Callithrix jacchus: one gene and its partners. The protein of the gene in region 2 purifies or fractionates together with the protein of the main gene of each other region. This does not show direct contact. Links are inferred from orthologs where the notes say so. Each region holds a gene or a part of one and is shown on either strand. Other genes may lie near its edges.

The links.
Region 1: the proteins of RNF111 (region 2) and SKIL purify together in Homo sapiens (affinity purification with western blotting; 3 studies listed by BioGRID). This does not show direct contact. The link is inferred for Callithrix jacchus from reciprocal best matches to the Homo sapiens genes RNF111 and SKIL.
Region 3: the proteins of RNF111 (region 2) and SMAD2 purify together in Homo sapiens (affinity purification with western blotting, with the first as the bait; 3 studies listed by BioGRID). This does not show direct contact. The link is inferred for Callithrix jacchus from reciprocal best matches to the Homo sapiens genes RNF111 and SMAD2.

What each region holds. Positions count from the first base shown.
Region 1 is NC_133518.1:16,691,856-16,696,840, reverse strand, and holds the start of SKIL (ski-like protein), read left to right. Parts: upstream 1-1,790; 5' UTR 1,791-1,883; intron 1,884-3,816; 5' UTR 3,817-4,483; coding exon 4,484-4,985. UniProt on the Homo sapiens protein: May have regulatory role in cell division or differentiation in response to extracellular signals.
Region 2 is NC_133509.1:4,988,879-4,994,008, forward strand, and holds the start of RNF111 (E3 ubiquitin-protein ligase Arkadia), read left to right. Parts: upstream 1-2,018; 5' UTR 2,019-2,123; intron 2,124-2,326; exon of another isoform or gene 2,327-2,585; intron 2,586-5,130. Other genes in the region: uncharacterized protein LOC144577265, read right to left, coding at 1,554-2,018. UniProt on the Homo sapiens protein: E3 ubiquitin-protein ligase. Required for mesoderm patterning during embryonic development. Acts as an enhancer of the transcriptional responses of the SMAD2/SMAD3 effectors, which are activated downstream of BMP.
Region 3 is NC_133514.1:91,027,665-91,032,546, reverse strand, and holds the start of SMAD2 (mothers against decapentaplegic homolog 2), read left to right. Parts: upstream 1-1,687; 5' UTR 1,688-1,829; intron 1,830-2,092; 5' UTR 2,093-2,178; intron 2,179-4,882. UniProt on the Homo sapiens protein: Receptor-regulated SMAD (R-SMAD) that is an intracellular signal transducer and transcriptional modulator activated by TGF-beta (transforming growth factor) and activin type 1 receptor kinases.

The DNA.
Region 1 (4,985 bases), on a different chromosome or scaffold from region 2:
TTCAGCCAGGCCTTCTGAATATTCTCACAATTAGAAAATCTATCCCCCACCCCAGACTCACAGATGCTGTTTTCCCCCCACTGGCTCTGCACAGAACATCATTATCTTTGCCAAGCTTCTGTCTCTATGGCAATAACAGATGGGAAGTGCTGTGGAATTATTCATGTTCAGGAAAGGAGGCAGTCAAGAACGAAGAAAAGGTGGGGGGGTAGAGAGGGAGCACGACCTGGGAGCTCGGTGGAGGGGGCCTAAGGAAGGGAACTTGGGTGGGGGTGCGGGGAGCGGTAGGGCTTGAGAGGCTTGTGAGCCTTTGGGAGGCCTGTTGTAAAAAAAGGAAAAAAAAAAAAATCTACGAGCACAAGAGTATTTCCAGCCAGCGACTCCAAACGTGGGCCCCCATAGGAACGACCTGAAGCAGTAAAACCCAGAAGAAATTGGACGAAAATGGGGGAAAAAAGGGGACAAAGCCCGAGTCTCCTCAATTTTGTGCACTGCTACTCGGTGGACTATTTCGGTTCCAGATCTTGTGGTGGGGTGGAGAAAAGGGGATTTCTTGGTGTTTCGAAATGTGACGGAGCAGCTCTGCAGAGTTCAATATGCTAACCGGCAACCCTGGGAACCAGGAAGACCACCCTACAAGCCGCAGAGGGTCGCTGCCGGAAAGCTCTTAAGTCCTATCTTTCCCACCTCGTCTTGCCCTTCTTTAAAAAAAAAAAAAAAAAAACCCTCAGTAAACACTGTAGAAACCTGTAATTTATAGCTCCCCTCTGGAACCGAGAGAGCAGCCTGGTGGGCTGGGGGCAGGAGCCTGGGGAGCAGAGACAGAAATGTTTGCTCACGGTTGTGCCGGAACTTTGGCCACCCCTCCCGCCCGACCCGATGGCGGATGGAGGTCAGCCAGGGGAAGGCGTCTGGGTGGAGGCCGCCCTGGCGAGGCTGGGGCCGCCGGGACGGGGCGGAGCTCTGGCAGCTGGCTGGGCGGCCCTCGGGCCTGAGGCCCCGCGGGGGCGAGGGGCAGCCCAGGAGGGAGGTCCCGCGGGGGCGGGGAGTGGAGCCGGCCCCGGGGGCCCTGCAGGGCGGTCGCCGCCCGGCTGCCTCCGGGGCGGGGCGGCCCAGCTGCGGCCCCGCGGGGGGAGGGTCGCCCGTGCCTGACCTCGGGCGGCGGCGCTCTGCCGGGCGGGCACTGCCTCCGCCCTGCGGGCTGCTGGGGTCGCGCACAGTGCACGGCGCGGCTGCCCTGCCCCCTCTTCCCCGCCGCGCGGCGGCCGAGCGTCCAGGGCGCCCCAGGGTCTGGCCCTTCACCACAGAGCGGCGGGTGGGGCGGGGCCGGGGCGGAGGCCCCAGACAGCCGGCTGGGCGACTAGAGGAAGGAAGGAGGGAGGGCGGCGGTGAGGGTGGAGTGGGGAGGGAACATCCTGTCTGCGCTGGGTGCACCGCAGACAGCGCCGCGCGCCAGCCGCCCAGACGGCGCGCGGGGCCAGGAGCGCCGGGCGCGCGCGCCTGGGGGAGGGACGCGCGCGCGGGACGACCTGGCCAGGGGTCGGGGGCGCTCTGAGGAGCCACAATAGGCCAGACGGCGCGCGCGTTTCCGAGAGATCTGGGAGCCGCGAAGTGGCGGCCCCGGCGACGCCGGCGAGCCCGCGCGCGCGGCACCGCCGCTGGCTCTGTTCCCTTCCCCTCCCCCTCCCCGCCGCCCTCGCTCTCCCCCGGGCGGCCGGAGACGGCGGCGGCGTCTGCGGGAAGCCGTGTGTCTCCGCAGTGACGTGGGCGGGCCGAGGGCTGGTGACGTCAGAGGGCTGTGTGTAGCGATGTGTGTGGGGTTCGGAGCGGCGCCGGCACAGCCGAAGGGAGAGGGCGAGCGGCGACGGCGGCGGCGGGCACAGGTGCGGCTCCGGCTCGTGGGTGCGCGGGGGGGGGACGCGGCGGAGGCGGCTGGAGGCCAGAGGCGCTCAGCCTCCGGGGAGCCCGACGGCGGCGACAGGGGCGGTGGGGAGTTCACAAAGCTCGTCGAGCTTCCCCAGTCGCCGAGGCCCGAGTAGGGGCTTTGGATGCGCGGGTCCCGGGTGGGGTCGGAGCCAGAGGGAGTCGCAAGGCGCGTGTCCCACGAGGGATTACGCCTCGTTGGCTCCAGGCGGTGGGCGCAGGCAGGGCTGGGCGCTGCACTTGACGGGAGCCGCGGGGACCCGGGAGACCCGGGAGACCCGGACGCCCGTCACCACCCCCCTCCCACCGTCCAGCAGCGCTCCACGGGGATGCCTTGGGCTCGACCCTGCCCGTCAGCCCCCGGCGGCGCGGGGATGTTCGCTCGGCGACTGAACTGCCCCGGTGCCCTCTTCGTTCTGGCCCGGAGCTGGCAGGGCGGGGGAGGTGCAGCATTAGGGGCGCTGGGGTGACACCCGAGAAGTTCCCGGGGAGAGGGTGCGAGTGGGGGGGATTTCCACAGTCCTTCCCGCGGCTCCCGCGGGGGGGCAGTGTTGGGAGGGCACTTGAGGTTATCCCAGGCTCGCTGATGGGGGTGGGGGGACTCCTCCCTTTACTTTCCTCCACCCCCTTGCACACCCACTCCCAGGCTTCCCGTGTCCCTTGTTCTTCCTCCTCTTCGGGTTAGAGATAGGTGAGTGGCTTTGAGTGGGCGGAGGACTTCAGGGTTTTGGGGGCTCCCCCATTCTAGGTCATGCCTCTTGCCCTCTTCCTTGGCCTGTGTTAAGTGAGATGTGTTCCTGTGGTGGACAAAAGTCCGTACGATGGCTGGTAGCATTGGTCCTTACTCCTTTGGGTCTGTTTTATGGTAAATTGCTGACAGTTAGGGAAGCAAAAATTTCTATTTATTGGATTTCTTTTGGGGTTTCTCTCACGAAGGAAGTGGAAGAAGAGTCTTTTCTTTTCCCCCTCTTCCTCCATTTGCATTCTTTGTGAGGTTTGTCTGCCTTGTGCTTTTTGTCCCGGATTAGTCTTGTTCAAGGATGGAGATTCCCAGGCATGGAGTCTATAAGCTTTTGGCTTCCATTAAGTAAAATCGCTAACCTTTTAAAAGAGACAGTTAATTTTTGCCTACAGTCATTCCAGAAAAATGGTATACACGGACCAGCTGAATTAATCCACTTAAAATTGTAACTTAGTTACATATGGTAGATATATGTTAACTCCTATTTGATTTTTTTTGGATGAAACTGTTTTTTTTTAAATAGGAGATGAAGTAATGTATTTTTTCCCCCTTAAAATGGCATACATAACTGAAAAAGCCTCTGGTACTGATGGAGATGATCTGTTTAAGATTCTTCATATTCTGAACTCAAATGGCCTTTTGTGTTACATTATTGCTCCCTTTACCCAACTCCAAATTGCTTTCCTATTTAAGTGAATGTTCTAATAAACTGGTGTTAGATTTAAAGAAATCACTCAAGCGTCACCTTTGGTAAAGTGAACTCAGTTTAATATTAAGAAACTGGTTTCGGCCTGGTGCGGTGGCTCACGCCTGTAATCCCAGCACTTTGGGAGGCTGAGGCAGGTGGATCGCTTGAGGCCAGGAGTTCGAGACCAGCCTGACCAATATGATGAAACCCTGTCTCTACTAAAAATACAAAAAAATTAGCTGCGCGTTGTGGCGTGCGTCGGCAGTCCTAGCTACTCGGGAGGCTGAGACAGGAGAATTGCTTGAACCCGGGAGGCGGAGGTTGCAGTGAGCGGAGGTTGTGCCATTGTACTCCAGCCTGGGCAACAGAGCGAGACTCTTAAGAAGGAAAGAAAGGAAACTGGTTTTCTTTGGCCTCTGGAGCAAATTCAAATGTAACTATTCCCCACCCCCTTCTCTTGCAGATTAATTAAAAGAAGAATGAACTGTAATCTTTGAAGATAATTGGGCAATTTTTTGTTAAGTATCATTGTTGATTGTAGAAGTTCAAGAAGGCAGAGGCTGTTTTTCCTGGTGTGAGGATTTACACGTCTTCAGTTTTTCAGCACGGACACCAGCAGACCATCGTTTTTAGAGGAAATACTCCCTCTGCCCTCCTTTTTGGTTTCCTTAGTGGTAAAGATTAAATTGGGTTGCATCATTTTGACTTGTGTTTGAGTCTAGATTTTATGGCCCAAGGAATGACAGAAACTTTTCATGTGTTTGTTTATAACAAAGGAAACCAAACCATTGCGTTGATCCTGGACATCTTGAATTGAGAAATTGGTAACTTTATTTTGATACGTATTTCTGAAGAATTCAAGAAAACAAAGCATTCTCAGAGGTGTGCTTCTATTCTTTATTATTGGAGGCAAAACGAACAATTTCATAGGCTTTGTAGTGGAATTATGCCAGATTATAAGGAGAACCAAAACTAAGTATTGAGTAATTTAAGGGGATCTCTCTTTAGAAAGTTTTTGTGAAAGTAAGTTATCATAAGTATTTGTATATTCATTACTTTCCCCTTTTCAAATAAGTAATTAAATAGAAATGCAAATCTCAGACTTAATTGTTTAACAGAGTAGTGTAGCAATGGAAAACCTCCAGACAAATTTCTCCTTGGTTCAGGGTTCAACTAAAAAACTGAATGGGATGGGAGATGATGGCAGCCCCCCAGAGAAAAAAATGATGACAGACATTCATGCAAATGGAAAAATGATAAACAAGGTGCCAACAGTAAAGAAGGAACACTTGGATGACTATGAAGACATGACAGTGGAAACTGATGGAGAACATGTCAAGCGAACCTGTGCTTCCGTTCCTGAAACTTTACATTTAAATCCCAGTTTGAAACACACATTGGCACAATTCCATTTAAGTAGTCAGAGCTCTCTAGGTGGACCAGCAGCATTTTCTGCTCGGTATTCCCAAGAAAGCATGTCGCCTACTGTATTTCTGCCTCTTCCATCTCCTCAGGTTCTTCCTGGCCCATTGCTCATCCCTTCCGATAGCTCCACAGAACTTACCCAGACTGTGTTGGAAGGGGAATCTATTTCTTGTTTTCAAGTTGGAGGAGAAAAGAGGCTCTGTTTGC
Region 2 (5,130 bases):
ATTCTAGTGGAAAGATGCCAGTAGCCACACCCCTCCTCCCTGAGTTGTAACAATCAACAGTGTCTCTGGATGTTGCTAAACCCTCCCAGCTTCAGAACCACTGACTCAAAATAAAATAAAATTTAAAAAAACAGAACCACTGATTTAACCCAAGATATCCAAAATATTATTTCAACATATTGTAAATATTAGAACGTACTGAGATTTTTTCACAGTCTTTTTTTGTATGATACCTTTGAAATTCGATGTGTATTTTTCAGTTAAAGCACTTCTCAATTTGTACTCACTGCTTTTTCTTATCCTTTTGAGGAAGGGAGAGGGAAAAGGAAAAGGAGAAGGGACAGGGAGAAGAGGGGGGAGTCTAGCCACATTTTAAGTGCTCAGCAGCCTACCTAATTGAAAAGCACAGGTCAAAAGCTTTAGAAAAAAGGGTAGAGCTGGAAATACAGGTTTGAGAAGTCGTGAGGCGGTAACAGTTAAAGCCACGGGAGAAGATAAGATAATCCAGGCAAAAGTGAAAAAAATAGGAGGATTGAGGAAAACCCTAGTCGAATGCTCTTTTAGTTTCTCCACACAATCTGCTATCCTTATTATTATTGTAATTGAAAAATCATTTGTGTTTTTTTTTCTTTTGGAGACAGAGTCTTGCTCTGTCGCCCAGGCTGGAGTGCAATAGAAGGATCTCCGCTCACCGCAACGTCTGCCTCCTGGGCTCAAGCCATTCTCTTGCCTCAGCCTCCCGAGTAGCTGGGATTACAGGCGTCCACCACCACGCCCGTCAGAAGTTTGTATTTTTCGTAGAGACGGGGTTTCGCCATGTTGGGCAGGCTGGTCTTGAACTCCCGACCTCAGATAATCCACCCGCCTCGGTCTCCTAAAGTTCTGGGATTACGTCATGAGCCACGGCGCCCGGCCAGAATCATTTGTTTTCTGAACGACGTGGAGAATATGAGTGAGCACAAAAAGGCACTGAAACAGATAAGTTGGTGGCACGGGGGGGGGGTGTTAATGTTTCGTCAACACCTCATTGTCAAGTAATGTTCAGAGCATTCTATTAATTGTCTCATTTAATCTAACAAGAAGCTTTTTAGGTAAATATGTTATCTCAATTTATAGAGGAGGAAACTAAGATTTATAAGGGTCTCATAAATCCAAGAACTAGATTTTTGAAAGGAAGTCTGTCTGATGGACTCTAAAGCCCATTCTCTCTGTATCCGCCTAGTGCCTATAATGAAGCATTTGTGATCTACTGACTTTTATAAAATAAACACGGCAGCTTATGCGATTGTACAGCCAGAGTTAGCAGGATATCTCTTACCACTTTTGACTTGATTCCGGAAGCAAATTCGTTTTAACAGTGCGGTGCGGTGATCTTTATGTCCTTAGCGCATATGATACGGACATCATTCATAGTGAAGGACACTAACCCCATCATGTGTTTGTTTACACGTGTCAGTCATTCTGTAGCTGGTTAACTTTTTAGTTAGAAAAAGACGAATCAGGGTGTAGTCAGGATTTGGATTCAATGTTGAACGCGTAATCGCCAAATAAAATTAAATAGTGGGCTTCGTGACACTGTTCAGTTTCGCCAGGAGACTGATGAAAGCGGTACAAAGGGGGAGGGCCGGGGCCGAGGGGGCGGGGCGCTGAGAGACGGGACTCGGGCACGCGCAGAAACAGACAGATGTTACTGGAGGCGTGAAGGCTACTGCCGCCTCACTTTCCGGACTGTCGTAAAGGCCCCTAGTGTCGTGCTCCCCTCGGTGGGGTAGGAATTGGTTAGGCGGCGGCGGCCGGGGAGCGGCGGCGGCGGCGGCGGGGAGGCGTTCGGTCTGCGCAGCGCAGAAACGCCCGCAGCTTCCGAGGAGGAGCCCCTGCGGGACCGAATCCGGCATCGTGAGCCCACGCCGGGCCAGCTGGGCCGAGTCCAGGCGCTGCCGCACGTCCGGCTTTGGTGGCGGTGACAGACACTGCTCCTGACTCTCCGGGCCTGTTAGGCCGACGTCTGGGGCGCACATCGCCGGCTGTCGGCGCCGCGCTCGTCACGCGTTACGCCTCTGTCTTCCCTCCCGGGTCACTGATCCCCGGACCCCGGAGGAGCTGGGGGGCGGCTCATGACTAAGGTGAGGGGGGCAGGGGGGAGGGGATGCGCTGGAGGCCGCGCGTGCGCGCCGCGCGGGAGGGGCCGGGCCGGAGCGGAGAAAGAGGAAGGGCTGCGGCCGCGGAAGGCTGGGGTCGGCGAGCGGCCGCTTCTCGCCGGCGCGGCGGGGACCGAGGCTCTGCGTCCCCGCGGACGTCCCGCGTTCGGGCGAGGCGTCCGTCCGCCGACACACCCACAGCCCGCAGGGAAGGGAGCGTGGGTGAGGGGACGCCTCTCCCTCTTCCCGACTGTGCCCGGAGTCTCCGGATGGGGGCTGAGGACCGGGGCGTGGGAGTGCGCTGTGACAATGGAGTGCTGCAGGGAACCCGGGCCCGGGGACTTGCGGGGCGCTCGGTGGCCCTGACGGCCGCGGTGTCGCCCGCTGCTGCCGTGGCCGGGGAAACGTAGTCCCCGGAACAGCTGGGACACGGACGCGTCGGATTCGGTACGGGGTTGGCTCGTTGGTCGTTTAGAAGGAAGCTTCGTGTTTTTACTTTTGTCCTCGGATAATTGATCCGAGTCAGTGGGGGGTGCCGTCGCGGGAACGTCTGCCCGGCGCTGCGGAAGCAGATTTGTCACAGCAGCTCCTAAATAGGTTATAGTAGATCTCTGCAGACGGGTATTGCTCAACCTGAGTGCAAGTTTTGATATTCCAAAAATACCAGGAAGTGTAGGGTATTCGTTCAGTCTGTTCGTGTGTGCTGTGTGGGGTGACTCCATTGTATTGTTGGAAGCTTTCCTGTTTCTTGATTTACGTGGGCATTAATTTAGGATTCTCTTGAATGGTAAGATGCCGGCTGACACGGACTTCGTTTTGTAGGAGTTCCTGTAGCTTTCGAACCTGACTTAATCTAAACTTTATTTCATTTGGTATTTTACCTGTAATTTTCTTGTTTTAGGGACCTCTTCAACCAAAAGAATCTACTGGGAAAAAGATAAGCTAAGGTTCCATTTCCTTTCCCATTTGTGTGTGTGTGTGTGTGTGTCTGAGAGAGACATACTTGTAAATGCTTGAATGTGATTTTAAGAATACCACACACAAGTTCTGTAACACTGAACTTACAGTAAAGGTTACTTTTGATACTTTGTTGCTGTATGTGTTTTCATAAACGTCTTCATTTCAGTATAAGCCACATTGTTTCACCCTAGTCTTTGATTATATTTGTGAGGTAAAACAGATGGATAAGAAGCAAGGCCTTTTAAAGTACTCTTCAATTGATTTTTTTTTTTAAAGACTTGATTTATTGTACTTTCTTGTCGTTTAACCTTGGACAAATGACTTTATCATCTCTCTCCTGCTCGTTGTGACCAAGGACTCACAAAAGTATTGTAAGAATTGGTGAGGGTGTTTATAAATTGGTCTGAACAATATTATGGGAAAAAGTAGGAAGAGTGAGTCTCTCCTTGCTTATCATGGGTGCTGTGTCGTGTGTAGGTGTTTCTGTCACTTTAACTTTTGTTTGGTGTCAGTTGACCACTTGCTTGGTAGTTGTTTCACCAGAAAGAGAGTTGGTTTTTGAAGAAAGGTATAACAAAGTGACTTCGTTTTGGTGAAAAATGCATTACAGCAGAGGTTACACCTTAACAAATTTCTCATTGGTGCTCCATTTCTACAGATTATTGAGAGGGAGCTATACTGATGTATACGGAACAGCTCCTTGCTTGTATAAGGCCAAGGTATAGTCACTTATCAGATACTCCTAAGTAGTTATTTTACTTTAAAATTTAAAATGTGAAAGAAACTAATTGAATCAAACCGTTTAGATTTTTAGATGTTTCTTTTATTGTTGTAGTTTCAAAAGGAATTTCTGTATCATGCTTTACTTAAGGCATGCTTATATGTGAAAAACTCTTCTTTTGAGTTTTTCTCCCCCCTTTGGGCTAAGACTTAAATAGGAAATAAAAGAGACAATCTAAAAATTGATAGCAGTTAAATATGTTGTAACTTGGCATTAACATTCTATGGGTAACATTATCCTGTGAATCTTAGGGCTAGAGACAGGAGATCTAGATTTTAGATCTATCTTTGCTTGCTCTACGTAAGATCTCCCAGTTGATTGTTAACCCTCCTTGGGCTTCAGCTCTCCCTGTTTACTTGAGAACTGTAGAATAGATAACTGGTTTTCTCTAGGTTCCAAATTAATGGTTTGTGTATCTAGGTAGGTTTTTGGTACTGAAAGCATCAATTCCCTCATGATAGGTATATGGATAACACCTATGATGAAACTGTCGGCCAGGCATGGTGGCTCACCCCTGTAATCCCAGCACTTTGGGAGGCCAAGGCAGGCAGATCACTTGAGGTCAGGAGTTCCACTAGCCTGGCCACCATGGTGAAACCGCATCTCTACTGAAAATACAAAAAATTAGCCGTGCGTGGTGGTGTGTGCCTGTAGTCCCAGCTGCTTGGGAAGCGGAGGCAGGAGGATGGCTTGAATCTGGGAGGTGGGGGTTGCAGTGAGCTGAGATCATGCCACTCACTGCAGTCCAGTCTGGGCGACAGAGGAAGGCTGTTTCAAGACAAACCAAAAAACCTGATTGTTGTTCCGCATATCATGGCTATTGCTGTTGCATTGTAGATGTAAAGTACTCAAGCTTTAACAGCTTTCACATGGTACTAAGATTTTTTTTCATTACTCCTGATAACATTTTAAAAATTGTCCCGAATAATTTTTCAGAAGCCTGTGATTATTGTTCAGTAAAAGTCCAGAGTTATATTTGAATATCTTATACTGGACTCTGTTTTTTTTCTTTCCTACATCCTACAGATGATTGGTAACAGCTGGCCCAGTTTTCTACAAGTACCCAATTTATATATTACATGAGGAGTGAATTACAAATGTTTAAAGACAAATACTTATCTGAGACTAGTTGCCCTGGCTCACACCTGTAATTCCAGCACTTTGGGAAGCAAAGGCAGACAGATCACGAGGTCAGGAGTTCCAGACCAGGCAGGCCAACATGGTGAAACTCTGTCTCTACTAAAAAAAAAA
Region 3 (4,882 bases), on a different chromosome or scaffold from region 2:
TTTACTTTCATATTATTATTTAACCATCACACAACTATATTTAAGTAGATATGGCTGCAGGTGAGTTCCATTTGCCAAAGATTAGCTATGGAACAGAGCCGTACTCAAAGCTACAATGTGATTGTAGCTGATTCCTGGGTTCGCGCTCTTCCTCGCAACTTTTGCTTGAGAAAAGTTCCTCCGTGTGTGAGGAGATGGTAGAAAGGACAGAGATTTTGAAAGGACATCTGGAAAACGTGTATGACTCAGGGGATGGCCACATCACTCTTAAGATCCATCTGAAGGCACCCTCCTCTGGGACACCTTCATTTTTAAGAAAGATTATACTTTAAAAACTCTTACTGTTTGAAGTGCTCATTGGTACTTCCTGATTACTGATTTGTATTGCTAGTGCTTTTTTCCAGCTTGTTTATCCCAAGTCCCCAACTGAATCTATAAAGTAATCCAGTTTCTGAACAGGCAGCCAAGAAAACTGAGTTCTAGTCTTTGGCACCTGTGTGAGACCTATTTCTTTTCAACTTTAGTTCTACGATGCTCCCTGCCTGTGTCACAGTGGGTGCATAGTAAATACTTGATGTCATTAGTTGGGATCAATATTTTGTCACCAGAGGCTTGGGTGTTCCTAAGGGTAAAAGCAACAAGCTTTCCCCTGGGTGCGGTTATGCCCTGGGCAGTCGTAAGTGTAGGGCCTGCTGCCTCCTGTAGGCCAGATGTGCAGACCCGGGCCTAATGGCCCAACAGTGGAGAAAAGGGGAAGGGAAGATAGCCCAACCATTAAGGGGCATCGTGACAGGCGTTTCTTTTAGACTTCACAAAGACCCTTCCGGACATGCATTATTGCTATCATCCTTGCTGAAGAAGGAACCAAGGTTCAGGTTAAACTCTTATACCTGGCATCCCCTGCCCAGGCCTAAGTGTTCCTGAAAGACCCCAGCTCCGGGCTTATTTACATTGCGAACTCGCCCTCGTCTGCAGCACGAGGGCCCCGCCCACTCATTTGCATAGGGCGCACCCGGCTTCTCCAGAACCCCTCTCTCCCGGGCGCGTCCTCCGGGCTGCCCGAGTCCTCCCCGTGGCATGAGCACGTGTCTGCCCCGGCCTCACGACGGACCGTGGACGAGGCGGCAGGCCCCCACAGGACCCACCCCACGGCGCTGGCGAGGGACCCGGCAGTTGCCGGGGATCGTTTTCTAGCGCGACAAGGGACGGGCCTCTCCCTCCCCACCCGCGAGCCCAGATGGGAGCGCGCCGAAGCCCAACTCAAGCGAAACCGCTGGCGTCCCGCCCCGCCCGGCCGCGCCCCGCCTCGCCTCACGCTAGACGGGGGAGGCGGGACCAATCAGCAAGCGACGTCTCCCTTCCGATTCGAGGCCCCCGACGCGCGGCTCACACCCCGAGCTCCCCGCGTGCTGATTGGCTGCGGGCGCCGCCGGTCCGGCCGGGAGGCGGGGCGGGCCGTAGGCAAAGGGAGGTGGGGAGGCGGTGGCCGGCGACTCCCCGCGCCCCGCTCGCCCCCTGGCCCTTCCCGCGGCGCTCGGCCTCGTTCCTTTCCTCCTCCGCTCCCTCCGTCTTCCGTACACGCCCCGCGCGACGCTTGGCCAGCGTGCCTCGCGCCCTAACGGGCGGCTGGAGGCGCCAATCAGCGGGAGGCAGGGTGCCAGCCCCGGGGCTGCGCCGGCGAATCGGCGGGGCCCGCGGCCCGGGGTGGCAGGCGGGTCTACCCGCGCGGCCGCGGCGGCGGAGGAGCAGCTAGCCAGCCAGCAGCCCGCCAGCCGCCGGGAGGTGGGTGCGCGGCGGCCGGCGGTCGGCGGCCGAGGGCGGAAGCGGAGGTGGGGCGGCGGGGGAGGGCGCGGCCGTGCGGGCGGCGGGGAGGGCTGCGGGCGCGCGCCTGAGGGGAGGAGGGGCGGCGCGGGCGCCCGCGTCTTCACCCCCTCCTTCCCCGCGGGCGGCGGCCAGGCCCCCACCTCTCCCCTCCCCTCGCGCGCGCCGGGGTGGCTGGCCGGGCCCGGGCCTGGGGGCGGGGCGGGAAGACGGCGGCGGGGAGTGTTTTCAGTTCCGCCTCCAATCGCCCATTCCCCTCTTCCCCTCCCAGCCCCCTCCATCCCATCGGAAGAGGAAGGAACAAAAGGTCCTGGACCCCCCGGATCTGACGGGGCGGGACCTGGTGCCTCTGTGCAGGTAAAGCCTCGGCGCCCGCGGGCCTCGGGATAGGGGTGTGTTTGTGTGCGGCCGCGGCTTGGGGTGATGGGCCGTGTCACATGGCCGCGGCTGGTGGGGGCTGGGGTGTGGCGAGTTCGGGGGCTGTGGGTTCGCGGGCCCGGTGGTGCGGGTTGGGGGCCGGAGAACCCGGGAGGGACGGGGCTTGGCGGTCAGTGCTGCCGCCCAGCCTGGCGGGGGCGGAGGATGCCTGCGTCCCTTCCCCTCGCGGCTCTCACGCTCCATAGTTTGTGGTTTTGATTTTTAAAGCCGAAGAGCCAGAGCTCTTGTTTCAGGAGTTGTGGGGAAGCTGTGTTAGGGGCGCGTAATACTTTGCTTCCACTTTTTTTTTTTTTTGGTCCGGTAACCTTTGTTAACCATAGTAGTCTCGGGTTTTCCATGGCTTGTGTATACTCACAAACACGAACACAGCTGATACTCTGTGATCATCCTTCACTCATTTGTGAAAGTTGTTCTGCGGGTGGAGCCTATTAGTTTTTATCACACGCCTTTGGAAAGCCCTCTAAGTGATTTCACGTATTTCAAATTTGGTTGTCAAAATTGCAACTTATTTTGTTCTCTTAGGGGATACTGTCCTTGGTTCAAGTACTTTTGTCTTTTACTTACCCTTATGATTTCCTTTTGATCCTAAACAGAAAGAGAATACCTGGGTTGATTTGTTACTCCTTCCTCTTGACCCTTTAAAAGCAAAACAGCACCAGTGTAGTGTCAACCATACCTTAAAAAAACAAAAAACAAAAAACTCCAGGTGAAACGAATTTGCAAGCAGCATTTTCCATTAGTTCTGTCTTGTTTGTTATAGTTTTTTTTTGGTCTGATAACCTTTGTTAACAATAGTAGTCTCGAGTTTTCCATGGCTTGTGTGTGTGACACGCACACAGCTGATACTCTTAAATTTTGGTGTGTGAAAATTTTTAAAAGATATGTGTAAAATAATTGTTAATAAATAAATAACTTGGAAGTAGTTTCACCTTTTTGCAAATGGTCCTTGAAATGTGAATGAATTTCCAAAATTCCTTTTCTCTTTTCTGACTTCATATGAATTGAACCTGATAGGTTCGTATGAATGAATCACTGATAGGATGTTTTTCTTGCGCCTAATAATAAATTTGCTCTTATGCTGAAAATTTGCTCTTCTATTTTAACCCCCTTTCAAAAAGTTTTCATCTTACATTGAACTTAGTCAAATAGTTAAATGGAGTTTCAACATTTTTTAATACATGAATTAGTGAAGCAAATGCGGCAGAGATGTGAGAAGGAATTTAAAATGGGCTTCATAAATGTATCATAGTTTGACGGTTTTTTAAAAATTTGCCTTCAGAAAACCCACACAAGATATTTAAAGAATTTCGTCTGCCAAAAGGTCATTTAGCAAACGTATATATTAAATTCAAAAGTAATACTTTAATTTTTAAAGTTTCTTAGCCTTTGCGGTAAACTTGGGTGTGGTAGTAAATATAAATAGTTCACACCTTGGGCATTTCTAAACCGAGTACCCACTTATACACTTACTATAAATATTAACTGGATTTAATTGAGTTCAAGTCAGTTCACTGGCCAGGTTTAATTAATGGAATGTGATTGGAAACGTTCATTTTGGGGTTTTAGTAAGAAATTGCTCTTACAGCTTGCTTTTTATACTTTGCCACACCTTCTAAAGTGCGGCTAAAGCGTTGAAGATGTTCAACAAAAGTTTGGTGTTTCAAGGTTGTAACCTACGTGTACTTAGTCATAAGTGGTCATGTCTCCACATAGTCGGTAAGCTTCATGAAATAATAGTCTTTTAAGAAACTGTGCAGGGTAATTTCCTGTTGTTTGTGGCTTATCAGGCTTGGTATGTGTTTTTAACTCTTATGTAGGAATATAGGCGATGGTTTTGTGTATTTCAACAGAGTTTCTCTTTAATAGGAACAAAGGTTATTTCTGTTCTACTTCAAGATGGCAAGAGGTTGTCCCCTTTTCATTTTTACGTAATAAATATTAGAATCATGTTGCTGTAATCTTGTTACTTCACATTTAGGGGAATATATGTGAATGGAAAACCTCAGTTTAGCTGCATAAACTGCTGGCCAAAGACCTATTGAATTTTTACATTTTGCAAATGGAGATTTCATATTCTTGGGACAAGAGTCATTTTTAGAGGGTGAAGGGATTCATGTCTTTTAAGATTCCTAGTCTTTTGATGTGTATAGAACAGCTATTTTTAGGCCCTTAGTTTCTGTAAGAGGGAAGATGTTTTCCACTAAGTTTTGCAAAAGTGTGTCAGAAAATGTGAATGTAAAGAATTCCAAGCCAATTTAGGAGAGGTATGCATTTATTCAACAAATAACTTGTATTGACCAAGTGGCATTTATTCATCAAACAGCTTTTTCTGTGAGTTGGGCTTTGGTCTAGGCAATAAAGTATCAGCAAGAAAGTACACCCCTTTTCCTTAATGGAATTAGAAAAGTGGAAAGTCATGTCCATTGCCCGATTCTCCAGTGTTCAGAGTAAGAAAATTGTTAGTGTACAAATTGAGGGAGCATGTGTTACTGAGCCATTCCTCAAGTGTGCTTGCCATGCCTCCTATCACATGTAGTGGGGACAGCACTGGGGAAGATGTGAAGTGTTAACTCAGTGTCACTCGGAACAATTGGTGTATTTTGGGGGGAATTGGTACCAGTTT